Arabidopsis thaliana: one gene and its partner. The protein of the gene in region 2 interacts with the protein of the main gene of each other region in a pairwise test. Each region holds a gene or a part of one and is shown on either strand. Other genes may lie near its edges.

What was found. The genes of interacting proteins can lie anywhere in the genome.
Region 1: the proteins of BAG6 (region 2) and CAM3 interact in binary tests that used the Arabidopsis thaliana proteins (3 or more experiments, as listed by UniProt).

What each region holds. Positions count from the first base shown.
Region 1 is NC_003074.8:21,034,031-21,039,779, forward strand, and holds CAM3 (calmodulin 3), read right to left. Parts: upstream 2,137-5,749; 5' UTR 1,891-2,136; coding exon 1,815-1,890; intron 1,325-1,814; coding exon 951-1,324; 3' UTR 504-950; downstream 1-503. Other genes in the region: AT3G56790 (RNA splicing factor-like protein), read right to left, coding at 1-425; AT3G56810 (uncharacterized protein), read right to left, coding at 2,897-3,447, 4,450-4,897. UniProt on the Arabidopsis thaliana protein: Calmodulin mediates the control of a large number of enzymes, ion channels and other proteins by Ca(2+). Among the enzymes to be stimulated by the calmodulin-Ca(2+) complex are a number of protein kinases and phosphatases. Activates MPK8 in vitro.
Region 2 is NC_003071.7:18,983,144-18,992,727, reverse strand, and holds BAG6 (BCL-2-associated athanogene 6), read right to left. Parts: upstream 6,596-9,584; 5' UTR 6,372-6,595; intron 6,178-6,371; 5' UTR 6,143-6,177; coding exon 4,211-6,142; intron 4,101-4,210; coding exon 2,901-4,100; 3' UTR 2,508-2,900; downstream 1-2,507. Other genes in the region: AT2G46250 (myosin heavy chain-like protein), read right to left, coding at 1-525, 641-757, 1,052-1,342; AT2G46230 (PIN domain-like family protein), read left to right, coding at 6,878-6,948, 7,025-7,084, 7,162-7,267, 7,420-7,462, 7,542-7,614, 7,703-7,790, 7,930-7,986, 8,077-8,155 and 1 more; ABIL1 (ABI-1-like 1), read right to left, coding at 8,654-8,809, 8,940-9,022, 9,120-9,172, 9,241-9,511. UniProt on the Arabidopsis thaliana protein: Co-chaperone that regulates diverse cellular pathways, such as programmed cell death and stress responses. Involved in plant basal resistance. Involved in basal heat response through the regulation of the heat induced small HSP (sHSP) transcriptional cascade.

The DNA.
Region 1 (5,749 bases), on a different chromosome or scaffold from region 2:
AGAATATTCTGAAAAACATCTTTCTTGTGTTTGTTGTTGTTAACCATCAATGTACTAAGATTAATCACATGCCCATACTCATCTATTTCTCTTCCAAGTACATCTACACGCAGAAAAAAGCCCTTGGTCTGTTTATGTGCAACAGCCGTATCTATTGCCAGCTCCTGAAATCGTTTAACAGCTTCAAGGATTTGACTAGAAGTAGTGTCCGATGCAATAGAACAAGTATACGGCCTTTTCTCAAACCTAGCTACATCTTCAAACCTAGAACTCTTGTTTGTCGTCCTAGCCGCCCCATTCTCTTCCTCTGATCTATCTTTCCTCTTACTTCCTTCGTGAGACCTCTCATGATGATGCTTAGTCCTATCTCTCTCATCACGATCGTCACGGATGCTCCTGGAATATCTCTGCTTCTTGTTATCCATGATGAGACAAATTTAGGGGAAGTATGAAACGAACGTGAACAAAGAAACACAAAGGTATTTTACCTATATTCACATCAATTGAATGATCCCAATTCAACCACGAATAGGAAACTTTATGCCGTTTTCCTTTTTCTTAAACGACCACGAATTGGAAACTTTTATGTCGGTTTCTATTTTTTTAATGATACACACCACACCACGTTTTGACCTTTTTAGTCATTGATAGGACCTAATTTGCATTTCACAAAACCATGATACAATGCTTTACTAGAGAGACACCATTAATAAAAAACCGCGAACTAGACCAAGGTTACAAATTACAGGAGCAAGACAACAAAAAAACAAGACTTTTGAAAATGTTCAGACGCAAAATAGAGCATAAAAGGGATAAAACATTCGCGTCTTAAACAAGCAGAAAACATACCTCGAGTCCCATGAATAAAAATTATAGAACATAACATAAGAATTTATATGTAAGAGATGCAAACCAAGTTTATAGAGCCATTGTTTGGTTCTAAAACAGCATCACTTAGCCATCATGACCTTAACAAACTCTTCGTAGTTAATCTGACCATCACCATCAACATCAGCTTCCTTGATCATCTCATCAACTTCTTCATCAGTAAGCTTCTCACCAAGGTTTGTCATCACATGGCGGAGCTCAGCTGCTGAGATGAAACCGTTCTGGTCCTTGTCGAAAACCCGGAATGCTTCCTTGAGCTCTTCCTCAGAGTCGGTGTCCTTCATCTTACGAGCCATAAGGTTCAAGAACTCTGGGAAATCAATGGTACCGTTACCATCAGCATCCACTTCGTTGATCATGTCTTGAAGCTCTGCTTCGGTTGGGTTTTGTCCAAGGGAACGCATCACAGTACCCAGCTCCTTGGTGGTAATGCAACCTACAAGCAAATCAAGAATTTGTTCATCATTCACTTCTCTGTAAATCTAATTCAATCAAATATCTTCAATTACGAAACTCAAAGCAGGTTTCTCTGTAGAGAAGCATTTTAGCTAGATCCCAAACTTCTCAATTAACAGTTTCTAGTCATTAACTTCTCAAATCTAAAGTGAGATAAAATAATTCAGATGGAAAATTAAATCCAAATCGATAACAAATTGGCAAATCTCCAAGTCATCAATCATCCAAATTTCGATTCAAATCCAATCCAGGAAACAAACGAACAAAAATTGAAAAACAAGGAACGAGTCTAGAGATCACGAATTACAGATCCGTTAATTATCTACATCGACACAGATCAATTGAATCAACAAGAAGAACAGAAATCAAATCAGTTATGGCTAGACACCAAGATCCAACAGTAGCAAAATCCTATGTATTCAAAAACATTTGAAATTGCGAGAGGGAGAGAGAAAAAAACAACAACGTACCATCACCATCCTTGTCGAATAAGCTGAAAGCTTCCTTAAACTCAGAGATCTGATCGTCGGTGAGCTGATCCGCCATTGTTTTTTTCTTCTCCTTTTCGTGAAACCTGTAGATTCAGAATTTTTTTGTTTTCTCTCAAAACGAGAAAGAAGAAGAAGAAGAGAAAATTAGAAAAAGTGTCTCTGCTGGAAAAAACGAGAGAGCAACCGTATTTATCGGGTACGAAGCTATTAACGACTTTTGCTCCGACCCGGGACTTTAAAAGCTTTTTTTTTTAACCCGTACCGGGTTTGGAAAAATCTCTGTTATAACCTCGGATTATGACTGTAATTGCGTTAATGCTATCATCAATGATTTCTTTTCTCTTATAAAACGCCAGAGTGGACAATTAAACGGATCACACGTTCACGCGGTCTGTACGCGGAGCGTTGACTTGACTGTCACGTCAGCATTCTCGCTGGGTCCTCGAGATCTCTCTCAGTACAGATGTCTGTTTATGATTGGCTTCGCTTTTGAATTTAAGTAGTCCTCCTCACCATTGAAAACAAATAATTAGTTTCTTTTATTGTTAACTTAAGTACAATATCACCTGCAAATTAATTAGATTAGATTTCGTTTTCAAACAATCAAAATCACTTCAAGATATAATTGATACGTCTAATCAATTTCTTAATAAATTCTATGATTAAATTATGTATATAAGGTAACTTAAGAAAGGTATATATAAAGAGAAAACGATCGAGTTTTAAAATATAGGATGAGTTATTAAAAAAAACATTAATATCTGTATCTAGATGAATATATTGTTTCTGATTTTGTTAATCATTCATTTATTTAAGGAAATCTATGTAGTACTAGTATATACATGAATTCATCAAATAGGGAAAGTTTTTATATTGAATGCAAATAGTGTATCATTCATTAAACCCTAAACAACCAATTGCACTCTATTGAAAGATATGTCTTAAATTCTGAATAAGCTAAGAAAATTATAAAATAATTTAAACAACAAGTGTCATAGGTGAAAATTGTCGCAACTATGACTTCCATAACCGTCACAACGAACCTAAAGATATCAATCGCATCAAAACACTAATCTTCTTCGACACGCGTCGAATGGGAGAGAGTTGCTGCTGCCACGTCGGATGTGTTGGCCTTTACCTCCTCCGCCGTAACAAACAGAAGAATCCACCGGCGATTGATAAAACTCGTCGTCGTCGTAGTCAGAGAAGGAGAGCTCTCGAACGGTCTCTGCGATCAAGTCGCGACAGATGTGATCATGAAGAGCCAAACCGATTTTAGCGACCTCTCTTCGTTGACCAGATGCCACGTCATCACAAACTTGGTTCACGCTCTCCATCAAGCTCCGTCTTACCCTCCGCACCACAAGGGGCAACGTGCCACATGACTCTGTCGTCGTCGTTGACGTTGATCTCTTGGAAATGACGTCATGAATGGAGTAATGATCGGGTCTAGTGATTAGATTTATATTGTTGACTTTGTAGGGTTTGTTGTCTTTGCAGCAATATTCGTGATGGTTCATCATCGACAACATCGTGTCTGTGTCTGGTTCGTGTTGTGTCGTCTTCGTGTTCTTCTGCGTGTGCGTCCCCACGACGACATCTCCTGCCAGTACTGTTGGTTGTTTGTTAAATAAGACGAAAATAATTTATCAGACAACTTGTGTGTTTAGTATATAAATTAGTACGTTGTCACACAAATATATATAAACTATTACTAGCGAATAATAAGACTCAGGCATACATGAAGTGCTTGTAGAATCATTTTTCTTTAAAAGTGGTGTTCTTGATTTGGTACCATAAAACAGTATGTGGGTCAGAATCAGGAATAAATCAAAGAATGGGTGGGGGTCCAAATGATGGGAAAAGTTAAAGTGGGCTTCATGACTAAAGGAATAAAGGCCCCTAAAAGCTGTTTCTTCCTTCATCATTTGTCTAACATGCCTCTTTCTCCTCACACTTTCTTTACTCTCTTCTCCACTTTAATTTGATCCTATCAGATTAGACTAAACCTCATTACATAATTAGCCCCACCGAAACTTAATTGGGGTCCATACTATATTGTCTTTATATAATTTTGAACACTATCCTCAATATGACAACAACTATATAATGATCCAATTGTTAGAGCAATTAGATGTGACATCAAAATCAAATAACACAGTTTATGCATGCATGAAATTGTTAGAGCAATAAGATGTCTTTATCAATATACTTTTATTTGTATATACCAAAATGATGAGCCTGTCTTCCACTATTGGACATACTCATGATTTCAACACCACCAAATTAAAGAGACAACTCTTTGGCCTTCCCATTCTATCTTCACTCTTTATTGCTACTTTAGTTGACACAATGTTCACTTAAGTTTACTACTTTAATTTATTTATTTTGAACAACAAAAGATTAAAATACAAAATTCCCTGATAATGTGCTACAAATTACGGACCACATCAATTCTCCCACATTTTAATATGAATTTTTCTTTCTTGATTTTTGTTAAGTTATCAATAAATAAGAGAAGTTTTTATAAGTGAAAAAAAAAAAAGATGATTTCGACATGTTTGTATTAAACGTATAAGATGACCAAAACACTGACAAAAACGGAGAAACGTACCGGTGCCGGAGAATTTAAAATTCTCACGTGTGGTCGGCGGAGAAACCTCAAGTCTCTTGTGAAGAATGTAAGTGGTTTTGATGACGTCGATGGTTCTTCTTAGCTCCTCTAAGTCCCGATCACATTTCTCTAGTGCTCCGACTAGACTAACTCTCGCCGCATCTCCCTCTCCTTCATTGTGCGGAAGCGGTGGCGCAACGATTCCTCCGCCTTGTCCGTTTGATGAATCTTGCGGAGGAGAAGCGTAAACGACGGTTCTTTGTTCTCGCTTTTTAGATCCCAAGGTGATGGATTTGCGGCGGTTGAAGGTGGAGAGGAAGAGGTTGAAGAACCCGGGGAGGCAGCCGGAGGAGACGGCGGAGGAGTTTGAGTTTCTCCGTGGAGGATTATGGTTTTCCCGCCATGAAGATGAAGGAGAAAGCAAGTTCTCTCGTTTACTCTTCTTCATATTCCTCCTATCTGTTTTTGTTTTTCTCACCTCTTTCTTTTTCTCTCTATCTAAAACCTTAAATTCCCATTTAGTCAAAAGAAATTATTCATTTCAACGGTAAAATTATAATATTATACCCTTTTTGTGATTTAGGTCTCCATGCTTTATTTTTATTTTATTCTCCTTTTCACTTTTGTTTTACGTTTTTTTTTTTACTTTAAGGTTGGTCCATTTGCACATGGCAAATTCCAAAGCATTGACACTTTACTTATTAGCTATAGACATTATAATGTCATTTTTTGGCTAGACATTATAGTGTCTTTCATGTTTTGTTTCCTATTTTGAAGTTTAATTAGTGCTTACTGGCTTACAAAGTAAATTATCACTCAACTCTAGATAAACTTCAACTAGACCTTCGAATACAACATGATGGGGATTCCATTAACAAAATTAAGAACCCTAATCAAATACTAGGCATTTAGGAGTTTAGCACAAGGCTCTATGAGAAACAAAAGGGCATTATTAAGAGTGTTCTTTAAGATTCATGACCTTGTGCATGCTGGACAGAGAAAACTTTTAGAGCTTTTTTTATCAATCCTATAAGAATTAGATATTTTTTGTACGAGTAATTGTAATTGCATCATTAATGGCACTCTGTTTTGAGACCATAAATCATTTACACGTTTGAAGAAAACAATTTATGCTTTAATTTAACAATTTTCGGTAAGCAGAAAAACTAACACTGCTCACAAATTTTACATGTAGAGATATATTTCCATCTGTCAAATATAATTGTGATTGAAGTTTTTAAAATACATAAAACATTTTGATCATAAATAATAAGACTTCGTAATTGATTGATTACAGTGC
Region 2 (9,584 bases):
AATTACTTTATCACTCACCGGTGACTTTTTGCCAATTCTTCTCACCTTATCTTCATAATCTTTCACCGCTTTTGCAAACTCATCGCAGAGATTTTCCACAACAACACGTTCCTGTGTCTCCTTTTCAAGGTCTTTCAAAGCTTTGGACAAACAATGCTTCGCTTCACAAAGCTCTCGTGTTAGCTTCCGGTGCAAAGTCTCTGACTCCTTTCTAACTTTTCTCTCATCATCTAACTCCCTCTTTATGGATCGAAACACATCTTTTACCTCTTCTTCTTCTTTTTTCTTCCTCAGTGGCCTATCGCTTAGCTTCTTCCGTTGCTGAACCTCCTTAATCTCGGCTCTACATTCATCCAACTCCATCTTTAAAGCTCTAACCAAAGACATATTAGCAGTATTCTGTTCTTCGAGACTCCATATCCGGTTTAGCACCTTGAGAAGCTTTGTAGAGGAACCCAAACCATAGCTTGCAGACTTAACCGCCGAAGAACCTGTCTGACTAAACGCTGGCTTACGCACCACAACCTACAAGCACATTAAGCCAACACACACCAAATCCAGCTCAAAACAAGATTGTTAAAAAGCATTCCTTGGTTAAATTTAAGAGTGAACAAAGAGCAAAAAACTTTGTTTTCTTCACCTGCAATGAACTGCTGCTGCTGCTGCAACTTGCAGGAGAGATAGGTTGCAACAGATCACCATTTCTATAATCATCAGTTGCTGCAATTTGCCTCCTCAAGCTAGCTCTGCTTGGTGGCTGCAAATTAAAACTCATATATAAATACTAAACACACTTACGAGCCAACTTTACGACCATGAGATTTGTCCAATGAAATTTGTGCATAGACGAGCAAAAGACCACATCATAAAGAACAATACTTTGAGATTTTCTCGGTGGAATTTGCGCAAAAATGAGATTTTTTCCGGTCGAATATACTCTAACCTCACCGTAAAGATCACAACTTTACGACCTATCAAAACAAGAAGACTAAAACCCTACATAAACCCGTCAAAAACATTCAAGCAAATCAAAAGCGCCAAAATTGTTTACATGATCGTGAAGCGGGCTACGGGAATGCGATTCCACATCTGAATCCCTTCGTCGACACCGTCGCAGCTCAATTCTTTGCCGGAATTGTTCAGTTTCCCACAAATCAGCACACAATTTCCGGACAGAGTCCTCCGAATTCGCCAAAAACTCCTTGGTCGCTCCGACTCGTGGCGGCGAAAACTCGAGCCGCCAGGTGGGTGGAGGAGTGGAAGGACCAGCTCTCCTAGTATAGCCCATGAAACTTCGTCTCAGCTTTTTCTCCATTTCTCCTTCTTCACACTCTCTCTCCATCTCTTTACTCGCTCTGTTTTCACCTCTGTTTCCACCTCTGTTTCCCTTAAGCTGTGGAAGGTTGTCTTCTTGGAGACAGTTGTGTCTCGACTCTCTCTGTTTCTTTCGTCTTTTCCTTAAAAATTCACAGATCACTTATTAATGGCTTATCCTTAAAATTTGTCCATCTTGCTTTATCATTTATTTATACAAAAACCCGAAAAACGTGATTTGTTGTTAAGTATGATTGTAATTCTTACTACTACAATTCTTTGCTTTTTAAAACAATAGTAGTATAATGTTACAACATCAAAAGCCTGTTACTCTCTCCCGACAAAGATTACGAGTTTACTCTGACTTTTTCTTCTTCCCAACAAAGCCATAGATTTTTATTTACTGCAAGGGGAAATATATCTCTCAGAGACAGAGGATGCGTGTGAGTGAACCTTTTTCACCTTTTACTATTTTCTTTTCTCCATGGAAATCAACCTATTTCTCCTATGTACATTTTGCGAACTTGTTAAAATAGTTACAGTAGAGGTGCAACCTTTTACTGTATATTTGGATCACAATAGTTACAGTAGTTAACATACTGCTACAATTGTAGAAATGACACTAATGAATAGAAATGAGAGTGTATATCATTTGTTTGGTTTAGATGAAATGTATTTCTAAGATAAGAAATTAACTTTTGATGGATGCACACAAGTGGGTGAAGATAATCCCTTGAATTAGTTAATTATGCTAGTAAATTTGGGGATTGAGAGTAGGCTAATAGAGTCATTATGAGGTTAAATGGGTGTTAATAAACGATTAAAATATAAATCATTCGTATCAGAAAATAACCATGCTTGAAGATTCCTGGTCCTTTCATGCTATAGTCTACAACTCCAAGGCTTTATTATGACTAATACTGACACCATTTCCTTTTTTTCAACCATAGATTAGGTGAGAATGAGATCATATCATTACTTGTTATTTCTCTTGCACATGTTAATCTTTGAGAATTTTAGTTGTTTGTAATGAGAAAGCACATAAGAGAGAGGTTACGGAGATGAGTGTAAATGGCGTTGGGACGTGAACGGGACCACAAGAGATGAATATTTGGCGGCTCAGAGACAACCTAACGTGACGATGAGAAAGAAGAAAACGAAGAGTGAGTTATGGCATGAAAAGGATCACTATGTCCGCACAAACCACACAATCATTCTCTTTCTTTCTCCCATAACAAATTTGAAAGATACAAATTTTAAATGTAATTAAAGTAATAATACATGAAATTTACACCTATAGCAAAAATTTGAAATAAATAATAAAAACATTTGAAATAACTAATGGGTTGATCATTGTATGGGCCTTATATAGTTATATATTGGGCCTTGACACAAAATTTAGTCGAATCTGTCAGAGCGAATGGGTCGTTTAAGGAGGTTATCCATGAACGTCGAAGAAAACAGAGAGGCAAATATTTGGATTTTCGTTAAGACAATTTTTGAGTTCTCGTTCTCTTTTCTGTACTCAATAGGATGGAGATGGATACAATATATGAGGAATTGAGACATATCAATGTTTATGGGGGTCATAATACGGCATCGGTTGGACTTACGGACATTGGTTTGCTTGCACGACGTCTGATCTGTGTCTTTTTCTTATGTGACAGTTTCTTCTCAAGGCTTTTGACCCGACTGGTTAATTTCGATATGACTTCTAGTTGTTCTCTGCCTGCCTTAACCAACGTCTCCATCGTTTCCTTGAATCGCTGGTTCTCCTCCATCAGCTTTTTGGTTTCTTTTGATATCCCAGGTTCAGTGATTTCCGGTTCCGGAGCCTGTTCGTTCAAAATAACTTCTGTCTCTAGAGGCTGTTCTTTCACAATGACTTCGGTCTCTGGAGACTGTTCTTTTTCATCTTGTGGCTCAGAAGTCTGTTGGCCAATGCCTTTGGAGTTGTTGGGTGAGTGATCAACTTCTGTTTCCTCCTGGCTCGCTGTTTTAGGGTCCATTGCAGTCATATTCCCTTCACGAGTATATGATGACGATGGATCTTGCGAAAGAGGCTGTGTTTCCTCGTCAATCACTCCAACAGGTAGCTCTGAGAGCTCGACATTTTTTTCTGAATGCAATACAATATCATCTTCTCCTTTTCGGTTTTCATTTTCTGATGAGTTGGTTTCGGCTTCAGAGACTTCACTAGCATTCTCCGGGTCCCGTATGGAGTTTGTTTCAGTCTCTTCCACCATTTGCGGCAATTCGTTTATTGGCTCCTCCAAACTTTCCACCACCATGGCTTTGTTTTCCTCTACGTTGGTCACTGTCATTCCGTTTCCATCAGCTGACGGTGGATTACCCGGAACAACAGTCTCAACCTCTCCAATTTTCTCTGGAATTGTTGTCGAGGAAGCAGCCGCTGCATTTTCAGTAGCTTGCTTAGAATCCGTTGCCAGGGTTTCAAACAATCCATATCCCTCTTCTGTTTCAGCAGCCGATTCAGCCTGTTTTTCATCTGTTCTATTCAAGACGCTCATAGGATGTTCCTCGGGAGACAGACGAAGTACCTTCTCTAAATTCGTGTCAGATACCATTTTGTTCTCTTCTGTGAGCTGGGAGTGCTCCAAGTTCACTGGAGAGTCACTAGGCTGAGATTTAATTTCCACTTGTTCCTTTACAGCCTCTTTCTCTGCACTGGCGCAACTATTTTTCAAGGAGTCAAGCTTGTCTTGAATGCTTGAGAGCTCTGTGGCCAAAGCTTTCCTGAACTCTCTTATACTAGGATGCAATCCCTGGAAGATAAACATCAGTATAGGAAACTGTCAGCAAAAATCCTACACAGCAGTACATACTGAGATAAACTATCTCGGCCAACCAATGAAATTAGTCTTTCATGCATTACCTCGACAGCATCCAATTTCAAAAGAAGGTTCATCACCAGTTCTCCATTAACAACAATCTCCTTCTCTTCAATGTGCTGATCAGTAGAAGCTTCTAGCGCCTCAATACGCTTTTTAACATCTCCCATCTGCTCACGGACAGTGGCTATCTCCTTCAATTTCTTAATTGGCTCCCATCTTCTCACGTCATATCCACGGTACATAGATTGGATAATTCTAGCAGCTTCCTCTTCTGTAAAGCTCTTCTTTGCAGGCTGTTCTCTATTCTCCTTAGCTTCACAAGGTTTAATAATCTCACCGTTTGATTCTTCTTGAAGATTAGAATTGCTCTCAACTGATCCTTTTTCTGTTCTTAATGCGTTTAGGCTTCCCTCAGCCATCTTCATTTCTGCGTTTGCGTCTTCACATTTTACATTACAAGCCTCAGGAACAGTCCTTGATTCAGCCTTCTTGGAGGACAGTGGAGCCGCGATCTTAGTCTCCTTAGATTTTTCCATCCGTTTAGGATGACTTACTGATTTGGAACCACCATTTCTCTCTTTCGGTAATGGGTCAACACGCAGACAAACCGGAGGCAACTTGGATGCTTCTGATGATGACGAAGACTGCTCTTTTTTTGTGCTCTTAACTGGCTCATTCTTTGCAATCCTTTTGGTTGGCTCCGTTGGTTTAGGCAGATGGTTTTCTGATAGTTTCACTGGAATATTTCTTGGTTCCTGTAGATGGTTCGCCACTGGGATATTTATTACAGAGCTCTTCTCCTCCGCATCTGAAAGTACATTGCACTCAAAATTCCCTTCTTTGCCTTTTGCTTGAGTTATCTGCCCTTCATTTCTGTGGAGATCAGAGGGGCAAGACTCCAAGTTACGCCCTTCATTACTACTCTCCTTACTCTCAGAAGCTTCAACATCTTTCCGTTTCCCATAAGATGGTATCCAAAAAATAGGATACGGAACCTGTCCAGGCTCTTCCTTGTTCTTCTGGTTCTGCGCTTCCTTCACATCTTGACCCTGGATTAAGGATTTTATCATGCTGATATCAAACGGGTATTCCACCGTTTTCCCATTCTGCATCTTTTTCCTGTCTTCATTACTACTCTCAGAAGCTTCAACATCATCTCGTTTCCGACGAGATGGAACCCAAGAAGTAGGATACGTAAGCTGTCCCAGCTCTTCCTTGTTCTTCTGGATTTGCGCTTCCTTCATGTCTTGACCTTGCAATAAGGATTTGAATTTGCTGATATCAAACGGGGCTTCCACGGTTTTCCCATTCTGCGCCTTTTTACTGTCTTGATTCTGTACCAACGACTTCATGCTGCTCTCATCAAATGGAAAACAACCACGCCAAGATTCAGGAAAACTTTTCTGAATCGTCATATTGTCAGGAGCTCTAACTTCAGCAGGAGGCTGGTTATGCTTCCCTAACCCAAGAGAGCTTCTATATTCCTGATTCCTAGCATTCTCATGAGGAATCCATATAATTGGGTAAGGGCAGTTAGTAGAACGAACTGGAAGTACAGCTTCTCCTTTCTCAATCTCAGGCTCATGCTCTTCAATCACAACGCCTCTGTCTTTCTTCAAATCACACATCTGGGAAGAACATTTCCCGCAGTGATGCTTCCCAGGCACATCCTTCTCAACATCAAACCAAGGTTGATAACCAACTGGAAATGGTGGATGAACGTAACAAGACGGAGCGTAAGACGCGTGAGGAGGATGGAAAGCGGAACGATTCATGCAGCATTGATGGTACGGTACTTGTGGGGGATAACAAGGAGGCCAGTAAGCAGGAAAGTTGCCGTGAACGCAGCTTCCATGACACGGTGGTGGAGCATCCATTGCCATATGCTGAGAGTTATTACCAAATCCTTGATAATAGTATTCCTGTGGTCTCATTTGACATGGTTGTGATGGATCCATGTACACAGGCATCATCTTTAATCAAGATCACTTAACCAATTCCAGTAAAACTGCAGCAAATACCCAAATCCATATATCATTAGAAAAATACAATGTGAATTTGGTTCATTCAGAATTATTTCGTTACCACAATCACCAAAATCTGCCAAACTAAATCAATCGCATCTTCATTAAACTAAGAGCAATGAACTCAAGATTCTCAAAGCTATTCATTAAACTAAGAAGGGAAAATGACGGAGCTTACACGAAACAGAAACGATCCGTAAATTCCGATGACTCAGTTCCTGCGAAGCTCTCTCACTCTCTCCACCAATTAAAAAAAGCAGATTTCTTCTTCGAATTACTTTCTGATTCAGATGATTGCAGCTTTTTCTATGGGTAGTGAACAATCCAAAGACATTTCTTGATTTATAGAAAGACGAACAACAACGTTCAGAGGGAAAAGATATTTCTTCTGCTCTCCAGATCATTCTCGCATCACTTTGAAAAATCTGGAATTTTCTCTTCGTTTCTTAACCTTTACTAACACGTGATTTAAGAAACTCGCTTCGCTTATGGGCCATATAAATTAGGCCCATTTATTTTATTATTGGGCTTATAATTAGGCTGTATATTGAGCGTTAGTCTCCGTCTCTGATACCCAATTCGAAAACCACTTCTCAGCCTCCGCCGATTCAGACCTCGCATATTCAGCTTCCCAGTCTTTCTCTCTGCGTCGTTCTAGGGTTTTTGTTACTCTTTGCTTCGAAGATGGGAAAGGCAAAGAAACCTCAAAAGTTTGCTGTCGTGAAGAAGATGATTAGCCACAAAGCTTTGAAGCAGTGAGTAAACGATTCGTCTTCCTTCAAATTTGATCCTTTTTTAAAGAGATTCTTAGTTTTGTTTTTATTTATATAGTTACAAGGAAGAGGTTCTGAATCCAAACAAGAAGGACCTCACGGAACTTCCGAGAAACGTGTAAGCTTCCTACCACTGTTAGCTTTCGTTGCCAAGTTGTAATTATTTGGGTTTCGTTTGATTTGTTTTTGGATCAGACCGAGTGTTCCTGCAGGGCTTTTCTTTTCTTACAACTCTACATTGGTTCCTCCTTACCGTGTTTTGGTGGATACTAACTTCATCAACTTCTCTATCCAGAATAAGGTCGGTTCATCTTCAATTGCATTTCTCTATCACAGAGCTATAATCAGAATGTGTATCGATCTTTGTAGAGTTTATAGTCTTGGTGAACCTGATTGGAATCTCTCATTGTTTGAAATCCTTTTTGACTTATTTTGCTCTGGTGTATCTAATAGATCGATCTTGAGAAGGGAATGAGAGACTGTCTGTACGCAAATTGTGAGTTACTTAAAGATTTTGATAGGTCTATATAGGTTCTCTCTCTTGTTAACCACCTGTAATTGTTTCTGGTTTGAAGGCACTCCTTGTATCACGGATTGTGTCATGGCTGAGTTAGAGAAGTTAGGTCAGAAGTATCGTGTAGCTCTAAGGTAAATCTTTTAGACTTTTTGAACAAGGCTTTTCTGTTTATGGTTTTGTTTCGTGGATTCGTAATTGGTTTACTATAATATTTGGTAGGATTGCGAAAGATCCTCACTTCGAAAGACTACCTTGTATACACAAAGGGACATATGCTGATGACTGTCTCGTTGACAGAGTTACTCAGGTAATACATCGTTCCCGGCTTGTTGAACTTTGTATTCAAGACTCTGAAATGATATACCGATGCTCTGGTCCCATGGTTCTTGGTGTATACATTTTATCTTTTGTATGTTTCTGTAATATTCATTTCTCATAATATACAGCATAAATGCTTCATAGTGGCTACATGTGATAGAGACTTAAAGCGAAGGATTCGAAAGGTAAAGATAGTTTGTTGTATCAGTGCTCTTGTTTATATCCATGGCTGAAGTCTTTGGATATTATCAACTTTTTTCTATGTTTGTTTGCAGATTCCTGGTGTGCCCATCATGTATGTGACTAATCGCAAGTACTCAATAGAGAAGTTGCCTGAAGCTACACTTGGTGGAGGTATGTATCTTCCGGCTGAGACATCTGAATCTACTGCTACTATGGTATTAGACTATGTGAATTCGCTTTTGTAACCTTTGGCTGTTTTTTTTTGGTGCAGCTCCAAGGTACTGATAATTTATTAGAGACCTTATGAATTCCATGAAGCCCTGAAGCCTCAAGCCTGAGTTGGTATCGGTTTACGCGCTGAATCAACTGAGTTGGAATGGCTATGTTGTGAGCCATTTTGTTCTCTATGTTGGTTTCTCTGTTGTTAATTTGATACAATGTTAATTAATAACTCAACAGAAATCTTTATTAAGCTTTTACATTCTAAAAACACATTCTTAATCTATTACACAGTTTTGTTAATGATAGACCAAAATCATGTCTTACTGGACTTCGTACGTTGATGTGGTGATTAAGATAATTACATGAAAATCAACATGTTATTATATAAGGTAAAAGAAACGTGGTATGAGATTGAAATTTCCTTCTCAGTACAAAGAGTTGGTGTTTTCACGAGACATAGCCAGCTTTGAGCTTTGGAGTTTTCTGTTTAACAAAGAACGCAGAAAGAACACTCTTTGTCCGGACAGGAGCTTGAATGATCTCTCGTCGCGGGTTGTTATCAAGTGACCTGTGTGCAGTTAGAAGTTTCGGAACCTCCAAATCCTGTTGAATCACAAACTTGTCTCATCAAAACCATGATTACAAATACACAGCTTACTAATCCAGTTGCATTTTTCTACATGAACTGCCCGATTCATGAAAGATTAGTTTCATGTGTTCTAAATTTTTTTACCTTATGGGCAGTGGATGCAGCAGGAACACCTGAGACCTGAGAACCAGCCAAAGGCTTCTTGTTTGCTATGTTTTCATCATCACCTGCATGAGTTTCAATGTATATCATCAATCTCTTGGCAAGAGTTGTCTAAGAAGAAATGCTATGTTTGATACTTCCCCGACTCCCTGTTTCTCGTACCTAAGAGATGGAACACTCCAGATGTCTTTGAGAAAGCTTTTGAATCTTTGGAGCTGCACAGTAAATATGTATTAGTTATCAAGAACGTGAGAAGCAGTACTAAAGCTTTTTGTGAACTCACCTTGGTGCAACTGTGGATGTTCCTTTGAGGGTAGACTTGGTCTCTGAGCCTAAATGCCAGGAGAGTGATTTCGATGCAGGGGCATCTAAGTGAGTCAAACCAAGCATATTACTTAAACTGTTTGATATTTGACTGCTTGTATTATTAACTAATAAGCTCAAAGATGAGGACATTGCACCTGAAGGTTGAAGACGGGATATAGCTTGGTAATGATTCTGTCTTGTGTCAGTTCGTCTGAGAGGACTAAAGTGTACCCGCTTGTTAACAGAATCTAACAACAGTCGAGAGAAAAAAGAAATCAGATTTCACTAGTAAACTAACAGAATCTTAACAAGGGACAAGAA